Linked DNA regions of Macaca mulatta. The protein of the gene in region 2 interacts with the protein of the main gene of each other region in a biochemical or structural test. Links are inferred from orthologs where the notes say so. Each region holds a gene or a part of one and is shown on either strand. Other genes may lie near its edges.

The links.
Region 1: of the proteins of RBBP8 (region 2) and ATM, one has a biochemical effect on the other in vitro, tested with the Homo sapiens proteins (4 studies listed by BioGRID, with this or other methods). The link is inferred for Macaca mulatta from reciprocal best matches to the Homo sapiens genes RBBP8 and ATM.
Region 3: the proteins of RBBP8 (region 2) and KLHL15 form a complex in vitro, tested with the Homo sapiens proteins (2 studies listed by BioGRID, with this or other methods). The link is inferred for Macaca mulatta from reciprocal best matches to the Homo sapiens genes RBBP8 and KLHL15.
Region 4: the proteins of RBBP8 (region 2) and SIAH2 form a complex in vitro, tested with the Homo sapiens proteins (2 studies listed by BioGRID). The link is inferred for Macaca mulatta from reciprocal best matches to the Homo sapiens genes RBBP8 and SIAH2.
Region 5: the proteins of RBBP8 (region 2) and CTBP1 form a complex in vitro, tested with the Homo sapiens proteins (3 studies listed by BioGRID and IntAct). The link is inferred for Macaca mulatta from reciprocal best matches to the Homo sapiens genes RBBP8 and CTBP1.

The regions. Positions count from the first base shown.
Region 1 is NC_133419.1:109,102,036-109,105,555, reverse strand, and holds part of ATM (serine-protein kinase ATM), read right to left. Parts: intron 3,045-3,520; coding exon 2,673-3,044; intron 1,927-2,672; coding exon 1,732-1,926; intron 947-1,731; coding exon 851-946; intron 1-850.
Region 2 is NC_133423.1:69,421,056-69,424,575, forward strand, and holds part of RBBP8 (DNA endonuclease RBBP8), read right to left. Parts: intron 2,768-3,520; coding exon 2,663-2,767; intron 1-2,662. UniProt on the Homo sapiens protein: Endonuclease that cooperates with the MRE11-RAD50-NBN (MRN) complex in DNA-end resection, the first step of double-strand break (DSB) repair through the homologous recombination (HR) pathway.
Region 3 is NC_133426.1:23,827,337-23,831,374, reverse strand, and holds the start of KLHL15 (kelch-like protein 15), read left to right. Parts: upstream 1-1,227; 5' UTR 1,228-1,324; intron 1,325-1,507; exon of another isoform or gene 1,508-1,570; intron 1,571-4,038. UniProt on the Homo sapiens protein: Substrate-specific adapter for CUL3 E3 ubiquitin-protein ligase complex.
Region 4 is NC_133407.1:53,779,095-53,781,770, forward strand, and holds the end of SIAH2 (E3 ubiquitin-protein ligase SIAH2), read right to left. Parts: intron 2,095-2,676; coding exon 1,537-2,094; 3' UTR 506-1,536; downstream 1-505. UniProt on the Homo sapiens protein: E3 ubiquitin-protein ligase that mediates ubiquitination and subsequent proteasomal degradation of target proteins.
Region 5 is NC_133410.1:1,289,649-1,292,786, reverse strand, and holds part of CTBP1 (C-terminal-binding protein 1), read left to right. Parts: intron 1-1,113; coding exon 1,114-1,328; intron 1,329-2,752; coding exon 2,753-2,883; intron 2,884-3,138. UniProt on the Homo sapiens protein: Corepressor targeting diverse transcription regulators such as GLIS2 or BCL6. Has dehydrogenase activity. Involved in controlling the equilibrium between tubular and stacked structures in the Golgi complex.

The DNA.
Region 1 (3,520 bases), on a different chromosome or scaffold from region 2:
TTGGACTTTGATACCTACTTGTATCAAATTTCATTATTCAGTAGCAAAATTTACCAATAGACAGAGAAAAAAATATAAGTTACAATTTCAAAGGCAAATTCAGAAAGTATTTTTAAAATTACCAGATATCAATGTTAAGCATAACATTGTCTGCAAACACAACCCTTTTTTCACCAAGCAGAAGGAGTAACAAGCATAGATTTAAAAACCTTTAATATCTGGTATGGTTAAGCAGTTACGCATCCTTTGGGTTAGAAAAGTAACGATCTTGCTACCAAAGTTTCATTATTGTTGTTGGTATTTATTTGTTTTTCACTATTAATTTCTCCAAAAAGTAGGAATTTTTTTCATCTTTTGCCCTCTTGAGGGAGATAAGGAATCTTTGTGCCAGTGAGTCGTTTTCAGTCACAGTAATACAATTTAAGTCTCTTGAGTCAATCAACTAAAATCAGGTTTAGATTTATTTTTGTTTTCAATTATCCTTAGTTTTTAAAGCTAACAAATAGTCAAATCATAGTTGATGTACAGAAATGGGTAACATCTTTAAGAACTTATTTCATATAAATTATATATTCTTAATTTCCCAGCATAACCACTCAACTTTTCTCATTGGCACTTGCCACATATTGTACTATACAGCATTAAAAAATAGTAACCTTGGTCTAATGTTATATAACACAGATTACAACCACTGAATTAAAACAACCTCTTCCCTGGGTAACAGTTGCAATTTGTTTTGGACCAATTTAGTTTACAATTATTAAGATACAGCTACTACACAACTAAAATTATCATCTTCGTAATTAAAGCTATAGCTTAAAATGACAAAGAACATTATTAGATAACATACCATTCTGGCACACTTTGGAAAAAATTCATTGCAGCTTTACAGTTTTTCATAGTGAGACTCACAAGAATTTTCTCCAGTACAAGATGAGGAAAATTACTATAAAGAAAAACCAAAAGCTTCACTTAGAAGACCAAAAGCCACATAAAGAATACTTTAAACTTTAACATCCACGTTTAGCTATAAATCTTGACTTCTAAAATTTGGATCCTAGATTAAAATTGCTTTCATCTATACTGAATTTCTTAATATCTAAAAGGATAATTTAAGGAGGACAACCATTGTTACTATCATTTCCAATACTGTTTAGAAATAGGATGTCTGATTAACAGTATTTCTGAAGTAAATAAAAGGTTGTAAAATTAAAGCAAAAGTTCTTTAATTGGATCCATTCAGAGGTCTGCTCTCCAATCATTTGGTTCCAATTACCATCTGTGCAAAGGTTAAGTGGACAAGTGACTCCATTCCTTTATCCTAGTGCTTACATCCTGTTTTGTCTTCCTCATTTCCTCACCTTATCTATAAAACATATTTTACCCAAAAGACACTCCCATTATGAGAAAGGATCCAGGATCTACATAACTGAGATATATGGACTTATTTATTTAAAAAATCAGAAAGGAACACATAAATGCTCAAAGAATTATATGTGCATTCTTCATGCACATCCCCCATATTCTCACAGTGAGACAACTCTTTATTTCAGAAGCAATCAGGTATAAAGACACAGATAGACTGTAAAAACAAATGTAATATTTAATAATTAAGGTTAGATCTGGGAGATTCTGCATTACTATTATAAAATAAAGCCAAGTGGCATCAAGTAAGTGGAGAGAGCCTGACAAAACAAAAAAACCAGCAGCATGCTAACGAACTTAAATTACCTGTGAAGAATTGGAGGCACTTCTGTACTATTTTCTAAGTCACCCTCTAGCTGATAGAATAAGAGCCATTTCATTATTGATTCCTTTAAAGAAAAGCTTCTATTTACTTCACACATATTTTGCTCTATTCCCATTTTTACTGTTCCAGGAACTACACTGGTGGTCAGTGCCAAAGTCAAACAGCATACTGCAGGACTATAACAAAACAAAGGACAATTATGAAAAGCAAGCTCTTGAAGGAGCAAAGACTTTATCTATCAGGACAGTGGCTGGCACAAACATTTAGTTAAGTTGACTAAATGAACATAAAAATTGTTAAAAGTCTGATTACATTTGGGAAGATTCTTGATTAAAAAATAGTTCTTTTATTAACAGTGGATAGTACTACAATTTTAACAAGGCTATTGAATAAATAATGATAAATTGCACATAAAAGAAATTTAAACTCTTGGTAATTCTTTAAAGAAAGTCTTTTGGATACACATATACAATTAGAAGGAATAAGACCTGGTGTCTGATACATCAGTAGGATGACTACGGTTAACATTAATCTACTGTACATTTCAAAATAGCAAGAAGAGAATAATTCAAATGTTCCTGGCATGAAGAAAAGATATGTAGGGTGATGATATCCCATCACTCTACATGAGTGTGTCATATGAGTGTGTCAAATTATCACATGTACCTTGAAAATATATAACTCTATCATAGATCAATTAAAAATTTTTTAATTAAAAAAAGAAATTCCTTAACATTAGGCTTTAATAATTTGTCGACATTTATGCATTTATTAAGTCTTCTTGGCCAAACAAGAAAAGCATCTGAAATAGAATTTGACATCTTTAACTGAAGTAACAAACTATGAAAATGATCAGGGATATGTGAGTGTGTGTCTGTGTGTGTTTATATGTAAAGTCAGACATAATGCATGCTAAACTTACCATGAAGGTCTGCAGGCTGACCCAGTAAATAACTTCCAGAATTCTCTGTCAACCTCAACTAAACTACTCTGAATTATGGCTCCAAGTAAGCCAAAGTTTTCAGCTTGTATTTGCTCAGAACTTATACCACGAAAGGTAATACACCAAATTTTATTCCAGAGTTTTAATAAATCTGACTTTTGTGAGCTTTCTAGGTTTGACCTCTTGTCTTGGCACAGTGCAACTTCCGTAAGGCATCGTAACACATACGGTGTACGTTCCCCATGTCGCTGTTGGGGTAGAAGCTGAGAGAGTATCATCAGTAATGGAGACAGCTCACAGTTAGGTAAACTTGCAGGATACTTTGATATTAATTGGGTTGCAATCTGTAGCCTAAAAAAAAAGGGGGGGGTTAATTTGAAAACTATTCAATCACATTAACAAACTAAGAGGAAATATACAGACATGGTACTCTTAACAATATCCTAATTAGAGAATCACCATCATCATTTCCATAGTACTCTAAAAATAAACTGGCTCTTAATAGTTACTATGTCCTACTTCCTAAATTGCCAGGAAAATTGTCAACGTTTTGGCTAGCTGGGTAAGTTGTTAAGTTTCCCTTAAACAAACATTTTAAAAGATGTTAAATTAGCAATATTTGGGCCAGGTGTGGTGGCTCACAACTGTAATCCCACCACTTTGGGAGGCCAAGGCAGGTGGCTCACGAGGTTAGGCATTCGAGACCAGCTGGCCAACATGGTGAAACCCAATCTCTATTAAAAATACAAAAATTAGCCAGCCATGGTGGCACATGCCTGGAATCCCAGCTAGTCAGAAGGCTGAGGCAGGATAACCACTTGGACCCA
Region 2 (3,520 bases):
CAACATGGTGAAACCCTGTTCTACAAAAATACAAATATTAGCCAGACATGGTGGTGTGTGCCTGTAGTCTCAGCTACTTGGGGGGCTGAGGTGGGAGGATTACTTGAGCCTGGGAGGTTGAGGCTGCAGTGAGCTGTGTTTGTGCCACTGCACTCCAGCCTGGGTGACAGAGAGAGACCTGGTCTCAAAAAAAAAAAAAAAAAAAAGAGAGAAAGAGAGAGACAGAAATAGAACAGGCACAGTACCACATATTTTGGAGAACAGCAACACTGATGACATTTACAGTCAGAAGCAGTTCAAGTGTAAGCAGTAACAAAGGGTTTGTGAATGCATTCTCCTCTCTTCAACCCCTGTAAGTCTCCCTCCCTTCCCCTATACCCTGCTCCTCTAGCACTTTTCTCTCCCCTCCTTTCCTCCTTCCCTCCCCCTTCCCTCTCTCTTCCTCTCTTGCGGGTGGGGGTGGGAGTAGAATCCATATTACAGTGAGTTGGAGTGAATGCGAATTAGGAAAGTAGAGATATTGAATATAGACTTTAATACTTTTTCACCTCTGAAGAGAAGCTGTAGCTAAAGGTGGAGATTATTAAAAGTGGGGTTATTTTTTAAAGATGGAAGATAACATATACGTGTATATACTTAAAAATGACAGCAGAGAAACTGTAGATACTGTATAAGGAAGACAGGACAAATAATGGAGCAAAGACCTGGCAGCAACAGAAGAGAATTGGTTCTAGAGAGCTGAGAAGCAAGGATCTGCTGCACTCAGTGTTATATCCCTAGCACCTCAGTGTTATATCCCGAGGACCCGGAGCCTCCATGCACATGCACACATACTCATGGACAGACAAACAGACACACATGTTAATATAAAATGATTAGTAGCTTTCAGAATGTAACTTTTATACTATTATAAAATGAATAAGAGATTAACCTTGACCAACCCTTACAACTGGGCTCTGGATCTCATCTCCTCTGACCTTTTTAAGGATGTAGCAATTGTTCCCTCTTTCTCCAGAATTATTAATTTTCTCCTCTTTACTTGATCATCCTATCAACATAAATATGTGCTAATCATGCTATAATATTCCATCTTGAAAAAATCATCCCTTGACTCATGTTCTTCTTTAGCCACTGTCCTGTTCTCTCCTCCTCTTGACTGTCAAGTCTTGGAAGACTTGTTTGTATGTGCTCTTTCCACTTTCTCTGTCCTTAGCTTCCTTTGAACATGAGACAGATCTCAGATGGTCAATATTACACCTTAACAGTTTTTATCATGTCACTAGTTCAACACTCAGTGATCTCCATGCAACCAAATCCCATGGTCAATTCTAAGAAGTCTTCATCTTACTTGACTTATTAGCATTGTTAAACACAGTTGACCACCCCTTCGTCCTCTCTCCACTTGGCTTAAAGGACATCATTTTTAGTTTTCCTATCTCATTGGCAGCTCCTTCTCTGTTTTGTTGGTTCCTACTCATTTTCACAACCTCAACAGCTACAATCTTTTCTCTAAGGGAGTAAAAATGGTTTGGGGCAGGCGGGAGCAAAAAAAACCTTACTATGTATAAAGCACAGACATACATGCATACACGTATCACTTAAACAGATATACAGTATATCTGTAGTACTAAAACTCCAGTAGGGAAGGGATTGGGGGGAGGGGGAAATGTCTAAAAAAGCTGGGGTGGGGGTTCTTCAACAAAAGAAAAGTTGAAAATCATGGCTTTACGTAATGAAGTTCCTTAAGGCTCAATACTTGGACTTCTCATTCCCTTCTATTATCACTTGCTTGGTAATCTCATTTAGTTTTATGGCTTAGATGCCATCTACATGCTGACAACTTCCATGTGTCTCCATCCTAAACTTCTCTAAATTCTAACTCACATCTACTCACGAATCCAAACTCTACCTGAATGTTGAGTTTGCATTTCAAATGGAATATTCCCAAAACGAAACTTCTAATTTCTACTCATCCCTGCCCCAACCTATACACCTGTGGCTCCCAGTCTCTTCCATCTCAGTAAATGGTAACTCTATTTTTCCTTTTGTCCAAACCAATCTCCCCTTCACTCACTCTGCTCCAGCCACACAGGGTTCCTTAATGTTCCTCAAACAAACCAAATGCCATCTTCACTGCAAGGCCTCTGGGCTTGCAAATCTCTCTGCCTGGGTGCCCGTCTCCCAGATAGCCACGTGACTCACTTCCCTCCCTCAGTCCTTATGCAAACGACACTTTACCAGTGAGGCTTTCTAATATCCCTTCTTACCCTGCTTTACTTTTCTTCAGAGCACTTGCTTCTATCTGACATAAATTTTATTTCTCCCTCAACTAGATCATAAGCTCCATGAGGACAAGGGCTTTGTTTTACTTAGTGCCTGGTATACAACAGATGCTTAAATATTTGTTGAACAAATAAGTAAATTACAGTAAAGCCTTCTTTACTTAAAATTATTAGTAATTTATATTAATATCATTAGGGATATTTATATGAACTAATAGGATAACATTACTTTCCAATATGAAAAAGATAGTAAACTAGTAATATAAACAAAATTATACAGAAAATACCTTTAAAATATTGTCTAAGTTAGACTGTGGGTCACTCTTACCCACCAATAACCACAATTTAAACTTGTAAAGTAATCTCAGTATCTTGCTTACTGGCCATTGGAGGTTGACTTTGGTCATAAGTGTCAGCTACTAGAATTTCATTTTCATTAGGATTATGTTGTGGATGAGTTGAAGACTTGGAAACTTTTCTCAATTCTAAGGGGAGAAAAAAATAAGAGATTACATAATAAACAATGATGAAAAGTATTATCAAATTATTTTTATTTATTCATATTTAAAATTTTAATGTATTATCTGTATTTAAATACAAGTACCATTTTATTGACCTAATTATTGTATTCTAAGAAGTAAGCTCCTTTAATTTCACTAAGAAACAAAGCAGTTTAAGTTAAGACATTGGGAGAGAGGGGACTAGAACAGACAGCTTCTTTTGACCCAAACTGCCCAGAGTAGTAACATTTTAGTGTTACTTTTCTTTTTTTATTTGTTACACATCAGCAGGTTAATTTAAAAAGGTATACTGGGCTGGGCACAGTGGCTCATGACTGTAATCCCAGCGCCTTGGGAGGCTGAGGCAGGAGGATCTCTTGAGCCTAAAAGTTCCAGGCTACATTAAGCTACAGATCACACCACAGTACTCCATCCTGGATGATAGAGTAAGACCCTATCTCAAATAATCAATCAATAAACAAATGATTAAGCATCTAATGTATACTATATCATTTATCTCCATGATCTTTTAGAGTTTTTATTTCCAGGAAGGAAACTCTGAAGCATGTGTTATCAGAAATCACTCCAATATTTAAAGATTTAGTTCAAAGAGAACCAAAATAAGGACAAAGTAAAGTAAAACAGTTTTACTATTTGTAACTTGAGAATAATATTAAAAAGCATTATAAACCTTACAATAAGTAAGCAAGGGAAGTTAGAGAACAGGACTAATTAGTC
Region 3 (4,038 bases), on a different chromosome or scaffold from region 2:
GTAATTGTTGTGCAGCAAGCCAAGTGGACAGTGACGCAATAATCCACTGCAAGTTGCCTTACAAAAATGATGTCATTTGGCGCAGATCTAGTCACTTTTATAACAGGTAGCTATGGAAAAGCTCCCTCCACGTTGTCCCCGATTCCCCCACCCCCACCGTGGCCAAGATGCAAAAAGACACTTTCCTGGCTTCCTAGCCCTCAACTTGTCGAGGGTGGGCGCACCTCAGTGGCTCGGGGCCCATCGCTCGTGCAGGCGGAGAGGGACCAAGGGGACGAGGACAGCTGAGTGTCCTCAGCCCCGACGGCGGCGCCGCGGGGGAAGCTGCGTCGGGCCCAGTCTGGGGCCGCGACGCCCGGTCGCCTGTTTTCCTCGGTGGGAAACCGCTGGCGTGGCGGGCCGGCAGCCGGGACGCGGGGCGCCGCGGGCGCGGGACAGCCTTCCCCGCCAGCCCCCCACCCCCGTTCCCACACCGGCTCCCGCTCCCGTGGCGCCGGAAGTGACGCGCTTTAGGCTGAAAGATGGCGGCATTGGCGCTCGACCAGGGGGAAGGTAAACACCCGCCAGGCCACAGGCTGGCCCCCTCGGGGCGCCAGCAGGGGCCGAGGGGGGGCCTCCCGGGCCAGCTCCCCGCCCCCAACGGCTTCCCACCCTCCGCCCTCTCTCCCAGCGTGGCGGGCTTCCGCGTCAAGACGACGGCGCACGGGGCCCCGTGCCGGCCAGCCCCGCCTCCCTGGGCGGGCCCCGGGCGGCTCCCGCGGCCCGCAGGGGGCGCGCGGCCCGGAGCGGCCCCCGGCTCGTGGCCCCGCACGCCCCGCCCCTTCCCCGCCCCTTTCCCGCCTTCCTCCACCCCCGGCGTGGGTGATCCCGAGGCTCGGCGCGCTTCGGGGCAGAAGCTCGGAGACGCCGTCCTCGACGCTACCTTCTCTGGTGCTTCTGTCTCTGCCTGCTGCCCCCCAGCCCTTTCCCCCGCCCGCGGCCCCAGTCGGCCCTCCCGCCGAGCCCCGCCGGGTGCTGCGAGGCCCCCGGCGTTGGCAAGGTCGGTCCGGGCCCCGACGCCGCGCCGCCTCGTGCGGAGCCCGACTGTCTGGTTTCGCGACTCAGCGCTGTCTTCTTTCCCAGGACTTATCCAGAGGGTGCTGCAGGCGAGCACGCTCGTGCCCCGCCGGAGCGACCCGGCTCGTGCCGGCAGCGGCCGCTCGTAGACGTCCGAGAAGCCTGCCGAGTGCCGTCCCGGCGCCCGACCGCCCACCCATTGGCCCGCCGGCCCGGTTCTTCCTGATGCAGACTGCCGTCCACTAGAGGCTGGACAGGACCCCCCGAGGTACGTAGCCGCCCCTGGCCGCCGGCCTGCGGAGCCCGGGCTTCGCCCGCGACCCCGAGCTAGGCACGAATTCGCCGGCCCTCTCTACACGGACCCGAGTCAAACATTGGGTAGACGCCGGGACCTCATTTGTCTTTGAGTTTACTTAAATTGTTTGAAATGTAATTTTTTTTTTTTCCCCAGAGAGAGCGAGAAAGAAAAAGGAAGAAGCATAATTCAGCCATTTTTTGCAGCACACAGCTGCAGGTACCATGATTATTTTTTCCCTAACCCGTTCCTTCCCTTTAACAATTCAATTTATGCCTGAAATAGAACTATGCGAAATGCGAGGCATAAAACTAGGAATCGGAAGGTCTGGGTTCGACTTGGGTGACTCTGAGAAAAAATCGCGTACCGAGCCTCGGTTTCTTATCTATGAAATATAGTCGGTAGTACCAACATCGCAGGGTTGAGAGGACTATATGAGGTCATATATGTGAAAATAATCCTTAACTGTAGAGTGTTGTAAGAATTCAAGGCCGTTTTTTAAAGTAACCTTTGCTAGAGTGGTTAATGTAGTGGCTAACTGTTGCTGCCTCTTTATTTCTATATTACAAATAAAAGCAAATAAGTACGGAATAATAGTAAAGCAGTGCTGTGAATCCATAGATCTATAATAGTCACGTTGCTTGGCCTTCCTCCTACGAAGTGCTAACTGCTTATTTAAATAACGGTATTCTTTAATTCAAATGTAACGTTACTGTAGGCGCTTTGCTTTTCCTCGTTCTAGGCCGCTTTAGGCCCCTTTTCTTACTCTGAATATTTAGTTAACACCTTACATTTGTTTAGTCTTTTCTGTTTTCCGAATTTGTTTGCCTTTGTTGATCTGATTAAGTGGTAATTTAGAAAATGCCTTGCAGACATACATACCCTAATTTTAATGCCTGTTTTTCATATCTAGGGAGCAGGATGCTCTAATACTTCTACTAATTTGAAAATTGGTTAAGAGCTTATCAATGCATTCATGTTTCAGTAATCCTTAATAGATCTAGAAATGTATAGAACATTTCAACTTTTTAGCACTTAATGTAATTATATAATTTGATTCTCATTTTTAATCATCACATGTAGTAGGTGCTTAGAGTCACAGTTTATCAGTGGTAGAGGATGTTAACTTGCACTCTTCATTGCTGATTAATTTGGGGAAAGAATAGGATAGTAAATATTTGTGGTTTGAAAATTGAATTTATTTTGCCAGAATTTATATGTGTAACAGATCAGTATGGATCATTTTTACTTGGCACATCAAAAATATAGTATGGTTTGGCTTAAATGGTCCACAAAAAGTGAAAAAGAAGCATTTTTGGGTACATTGTTATTTTTAGCTAACAAATGGTTTTGAGTAGTTAGGTTTTATTAAATTTATGATTGTCTAGTCCAATATCGGTTGTCTTTTCAGAGTATGCTTTTGTGTTTTGTAAAAAGGCAGAATAATAGAAGTTGGACAGGATTAACATAGTAAAAGGAAAAGCCTACTTCAAAGTGGTTGGTTTTATAGATTGGATTTATCACTTAACTTGAAGATAAAATTTTGACAAATCATTGCTTTATTGGGAATTTGAAGGTTTGACCTTCTCTCTACCTCGAGTCGGGTTATCTCAGAAACCTAACCTTGACCAGGGCAGGCTTGCCTTCATGGATGTTCAGAAGGGCCCCACGCTTGGTTTAATAATCTGCATGTAAAACTGGGATTGTACAGTATAAGGGTGAATGGTAAAAGTCATGCTAATTTAAATTTTTAATTTTCCTTTACTCAGAACGACATTAAACATAAAATTTAAAAAACACCCATGAGAGCCGGGAGCGGTGGCTCACGCCTGTAATCCCAGCACTTTGGGAGGCCGGGAGTTTGAGACCAGCCTGACCGACGTGGAGAAACCCCGTCTCTACTAAAAATACAAAATTAGCCGGGCGTGGTGGCGCACGCCTGTAATCCCAGCTACTCTAGTTCTAGCTACTCTGGAGGCTGAGGCAGTAGTAGAATCTCTTGAACCCGGGAGGCGGAAGTTCTGGTGATCCAAGATGGCGGCATTGCACTCCAGCCTGGGCGACAAGAGCAAAACTCCGTCTCAAAAAAAAAACGCCGTGAAATAGTCGAGAGATACAGAAGAAAGGAAAAAGCTTTATATTTTACTGCTTTTGACGACTTTTTTTTTTCTTTTTTTTAAGACAGAGTCTTGCTCCGTCGCCCAGGCTGGAGTGGAGTGGCGCGATCCTTGCTCACTGGAACCTCCACCTCCTGGCCTCAAAGGATTCTTGGGCCTCAGCCTGCTGAGTAGCTGGGATTACAGGCATGCACCACCACGCCCGGCTAATTTTTGTATTTTTGGTAGAGACGGGGTTTCACCATGTTGGCCAGGCTGGTCTCAAACTCCTGGACTCAAGTGATCCGCCCGCCTTGGCTTCCCAAAGTGCTGGAATTACAGGCGGGAGTCGCCGCACCCAGCTTTTTTTTTTTTTTTTTTTCCTCTTTTGAGACAGCCTTGCTCTGTCTCCTAGGCTGGAGTGCAGTGGCGCGATCTCGGCTCACTGCAACCTCCGCCTCCTGGGTTCAAGCTATTCTCCTGCCTCAGCCTCTCTGGTAGTTGGAATTACAGATGCGCGTCACCATGCTCAGCTAATTTTTGTATTTTTAGTAGAGACGGGGTTTCACCACATTAGCCAGGCTGGTCTCG
Region 4 (2,676 bases), on a different chromosome or scaffold from region 2:
AGATCATGCCATTGCACTCCAGCCTCCGTCTCAAAAACAAAAACAACAACAACAACAAAAAAGGGAAACTGGGACACTGAAGTAAGCAGCCTTCAATCCTTGCTGAGCATTTGGCCCTAATCCTCTCAATTCTTTTGAGAGTTTAGGGTTGGGACTGAGGCAGTGGGTCACCATGGATCAACCCTAGCACTCTGGATGTCAGCACTGGCCAAGCGTCTTCCTTCTGACTCTGTAAAGCAGGAGCAATCCTCTTCTTGCACAGCTACTGGCACCATCAGATAGAAACGACAGCCCTGGGAGGAGACCTGCTGCACTGACATTCAGTGGTTCAGACACGTGAGCCCGGACCCCAGTGCTGTCATGGACCCACGCCATGACTTGGCCCAGTGACTGTTTCCACAGTGGAAACAGTGAAAGTTCCAACCCCAGATGTAGTGATGAAGGTTCACTACATGAATTGCACACAGTAGATGCTCAATAAATACCCGTTATTCAATTAGGGAAATGAAGCACAACATCCATTTTTGGAAAATATTTATTAAAAAACTAGTGAATGTGGCAGAAAAACAAAACCAACACACAGCTTTAAATAGCAAGCATATGACACACCGGTTATAAAGCTTTTCCAACTCTACTGACCTCGTCTTTCACACCAGCTACTGTCGACGAGGGCTTCCGAGGGAAGCCATGTGTAAACGGGTCATCTGTACTAGTGGTGAGCAAAACTAATTACATGAGAACTATCAATGGCCATATGACTTTCTTTCCTAGGCAATCCACCCAAAACATAGGTGAGTGACCAAATCTCAGGCGTGTGTTCATGTGGATCTATAGTTCTACTAGTTTTAATTTGAGGGTTGGGGGAGGTTAGGGGATGAAACAGTAGAAAGACAAACAGTATCGGCAGAGGGCAACCTTAAAGCACCTTTAAAATCTGGACCCTTTCCCACAATTTAACCCAGTAATTCTCAAACATTACTGCTGAAAAGAATCACCTGATGAGACTGTTAAATTGGCAGGCTCCCTAAATCTGCAATTTTAAGATAAGCACTCCGGGTGATTCAGTGTCTATTAGCCAGCCATCCTATTTGAGAAACACTGTTTAAAATGCATTAAAACAATTCCTACATCCCACAAACAAAAGTAAAGGAATCTGCTGACAGTCACTGTGCTTTTGTCAATGTCAAGGGACCAATACGCGAAGGCAGGCAGGAAGGGGCCTCCCATTCCTGACACACTGATCTATAGAAGCCCTGTGCAACAGCCTGTCAAGTGTTGTTTAGGGAGTAAATACAATTTAATAAGAGTTGTTTTAGATCACAGAACAGCCTCCAAATTACCAACAGGCCAACCCCATTCATCCCAGGTTAATGAACTTTGTTGGGTTGAAGCCAGATGGGAAACTGCTGTTCAAACAAAACACGGGTAATTGTGGGTCCTGACTTGTGAAGACATATGGAATAAAACATCTATAAAAACCTTTATTAAACATAGAGCACTATGCCCAAATAATTTTGATGGTTTACGAAAGTCACATCATGGACAACATGTAGAAATAGTCACATTGATTCCAAGGTTCCCATTATCTGCAAAAAGATGTGCTATGGCTGTGTCGAAAACAAGGCAGTCGCTGTTCATGATGGCCGCAGCCACACCGTCATGAATCGACCGGGGTGTGGCCTCCCAGGTCAATCTCCGCCGGTTCCCATTCAACTCCAGTCTATAGGCAAAGTTCTCAGCTTGCTTGCGGGTGCCAATGAGCAGGACGATGGCAAAAAACTGCTGGTGGCCTTCGTACTTCTCTTGTTTCTCCAGCACCAGCATGAAGTGATGGCCAAAACATGACTGCATCATCACCCAGTCGACAGCCCCTGGCAAGTTAATGTCTGTAGCTAGAAAGACGATGTCTTCTCCTTGGAGGGTGGTAATGCTCTTGTGGGCATGCATGAGATGGGACATCACAGCTTCCAGGGACCCCTGCCACTTGCAGGAGGCACCAGGACAAGGGCAGGAGTAGGGACGGTATTCACAGATGTCTTCATGTTCTGGTTTCTCCGTATGGTGCAGGGTCAGGGAACAGCCCGTGGTGGCATACTGCAGAGAAAGAAATGCATTGAGCCATTGGGCCTTCTCAAAACTTCTATTGCTTCAACCCTCTCTGAGTACTTAACTACTCCCTTTTCCTGGCCTTAAACTGGTCTTGGCTACTTTTGCTCAAAACAAGTGAAATATTCAAGACTAAAAGTCTCAGTCTCTGCTCATCATCAATGCTGTCATGCATAAAATCAAGGGTCTTTTCCTGAACCAGAAATATGCTGTTTTCCATGCCCCCTGTTCTGCTGTCAAAAGGATAAGAACTAAAGTTCTCTTACTATGCACATCTCAAAATTGTTGAGTAAGCCCTGTAAAATCTGGTCTTCCTCATATTTTCGGTGAAGCTGTTTTTTAAAGAATTCAATTGCTTGGGGGTAGGGATGGGGTTGGGCAAGGATTATTATATTATCCCCAGATTAGTTTTTACATACAGACAATATGAACAACAGTATAATTCTATTGTCCCCCTCCACTGCTTCCTGGCTCAAACTGGTGACTGGCAGGCAGGCCGTGGGGAAGGCTGCCCTTTGGTTCCTTGCTCTTTGCTGCTGGCATGACCAGGCTAGGGCAGCGGAGGCCTGG
Region 5 (3,138 bases), on a different chromosome or scaffold from region 2:
TCAGCTCTTCTGACTGGCCTCCCAGCCTCCCCCAGGCTGTTCCCAAGTGACTGGGAGTCCCCTGGGCGTTTGGGCCACATCTGGCTGCCCTGTCTGCCTGGCGGTCTGGTCTCCTTGGCCCTCAGGCCGCCGCCACCGTGGGCCCCTCACACGTGTTGTTCCAGCTCTTCGGCTCCCTTCCCATCCCCTCATGTCTCCAACAAGCTTGGTCTTCTCAGGGATGCCTGCCCTGGCTGCCACCTCTGTAACTGCACCCGCTTCCCTCCTGCCCCAGCGCCCAGCCGGCTTCCTTCCTGTGCAGCGGTTCCCTCTGAGGCGATGCAGGAGACACCACATTGGCGGGCTTGGGTTCTTGTGTCCTTCGCAGCCGCGTCTGGGCTTCTGAGGTCCTGTGTCCTTCGCAGCCGCGTCTGGGCTTCCGGGGTCCTGTGTCCCTTGCAGCCGTGCTGTTGGCTCACGGTGGGCGCATGCACCCTGCCGACCCTTCCCCGGGGAGGAAATGGTGGCTCTGGCTCCGTGGCTCCTGTGCTGGGGCCCACGCCAGCCTTGGACTGCTGGGGTCGGGGCAGGCACGTCTGCCCGGGATGGCTTTCTCTGCCACTCCACTGGAAGGGGACAGGACATGAGCCCAGCGGGGCCTCCCTGGTCTGGAAGGTTCCCTCCCGCCCCCTTTGCCATCTCCACCTAGTCGTGGCTGGAACTGAGATGCCAGAGACATCGATGGGTGGACCGGAAAGCAGGCCAGTGGAGGGACCTGGGCACATAGGGCGTGTGTGGGGTGAGTGGAGACCCGCTGACGGTCCGTTTGACACTGAGTGGTTCGTGTCACGTCCTGTGGACAGGCTGCGGGGGGGCGTGGCTGGCAGCTGGTGTGGGCCGAGGGGCTCGTGCACCCTTTCCCCCCCGTGCACAGCCTCCACCTTGGCAGTGGGCGCATTGGGAGCAGACACCTCGTGTGGAGATACCTCGCGCCGGCACCTTGGCTTGACCACAGCTGGTGTCCTTGGCAGATGGTCAAACTGAGGCACAGGGGCCACTCCGATCCTGGCTGTCAGGGCTAGCCTCCCAGCCACGGGTGAGCGAGGGTTTCACACTGTGTCCTGACACCACCAGGTCGCGTGGGGCAGGCGGTGGCGCTGCGGGCCAAGGCCTTCGGCTTCAACGTGCTCTTCTACGACCCTTACCTGTCGGACGGCGTGGAGCGGGCGCTGGGGCTGCAGCGGGTCAGCACCCTGCAGGACCTGCTTTTCCACAGCGACTGCGTGAGCCTGCACTGCGGCCTCAACGAGCACAACCACCACCTCATCAACGACTTCACCGTCAAGCAGGTGCGTGGAGCCGGGGCACAGGGCTCTCCTTCTGCGGGGCAGGCACAGGTGGGGGTGTCAGGAAGGTCCCTCCCAGCAACCACCTGCACCTGGGCGAGACCCTGCCTTCAGTGAGCCACATGGCGGCGGTGCCGGCCCTGCTGGGGGAAGCCCTGTCTGCCCAGATGGCGTTTTCCATGTTCTGAGTTCTACCCAGGATGCCTGAAATACTCTGGATAAGACAGAACCACATACCTTTGAATCCTAAATTCCCCTGAAGCTCTTGCCACTGTCACAGTGGAGATGATGCAGCTACCTGGGGGCATTGGGCCTGCCCTTCTGACTTCCATCCTGTGCTGCCAGGTTCAGGTTTCACATCTGCAGCTGGAGAGGGCTGTGCTCAGGTCGGCCTCTGCCTCAGCTCAGCGCAGAGCGCAGCCTCAGCCCGTGTTTCCCTCGGGTGGGCGGAGCTCGGGTGGGCGGAGCTCGGGACGGCTGCCTCCCGCTGGCTGTTGGCCTTTCAGGGAGTCGTTATGTGTGCACGGTGATGTGTGTGTATGTGGGCAAGTGTGTGTGGGTGCCTGTGTCTGCCCGTTTGAGCTTGTGTGTGCGTGTGTGTACACGTGTCAGAGGCCACCCACCCACTCAAGCTGCCCCAGCAGCCTGTAGCCACAGGGAGGATGAAACCAGGTGCCCACCTCCCCTTCCTTTGTTCACAGAGCCAGTGGGTTTGGAGCCTTCTAGTGGACAGGGTGTGGCACGTGGATGCTGGTCAGGGCCCTGCCATCCCTGAGGACCTTGGGTGTGAGGCTGCAATGGGCAGCAACTCACCAAAGAAAAGCCACCGTGACCCACCCGGCTGCCACCCAAGTGCAATGGCTGGGTGGGCTTCCTCGGAATGAAATGGGGGGGTTGCAGGAAAGCCCTGGCCACGAAGCTGACAGGGAGCCACTGCAAGGGCCTTTTGCAAAAGTGCATGAAAAGTGAGCCTGTCCGGAGGCCCCACTGGGGTTGGAGTCAAACACCACACCTCAGAGTAGACGGCCCTGGGCTTTGTCATCCCAGGGAGTCCCACCTCGTGGGCCGAGGCCCTGTTGGGGGAGGCTGGGCTGGAGGGGACCCAGAGAAGGGGTACCACAGGGGGACCAAGCCAGGAGCCCCCACCCAGTCCTCAGCTCAGGGCTTGGGCAGGAACGTAGAGCTCTCTAGGAGGTGTGGGGCCATGCAGGTCTGCCAGGGCCGAACCTCAGCCAGCTTGCCAGGGCCGCGGCGCAGCACGCCTGAGGTCTTAAGTCCTAGCACCCTGGTGAGCCCAGGGTGGGCCTGGGCTGGGAAGGGGCCAGGGAGCTGGGCCTCCTCAGCAGCGTGCGTGACCACCTTGCTTCCCTGGCCGCTCGCCCTGCACGGAACCCTGACTGGGCCTGGCCTGTCCTCATGTCTTCCAGATGAGACAAGGGGCCTTCCTGGTGAACACAGCCCGGGGCGGCCTGGTGGACGAGAAGGCGCTGGCCCAGGCCCTGAAGGAGGGCCGGATCCGCGGCGCGGCCCTGGACGTGCACGAGTCGGAACCCTTCAGGTGCCCTCACAGCCAGTGTCACCCCCTGCTCTTCCCTGCCCACCATCCTGCCGGCCTTGACCTGCAGATGGCGCCTCCGCCAGGCCGGGCACTTGCTTGTACTCAGGCCTCTCGCTGGCCGGCATGGGGGAGTTTGCTGCTCACTGTGGGGTGAGGACGGAGCCACGGGCTCCAGGCCTGCCTCGCCTCGGTCCTGTGAGGGTTGATCGTCCTCCTCAGCCCCTCTTCGGGCAGGGCTCCCCACCAGCCAGGAGA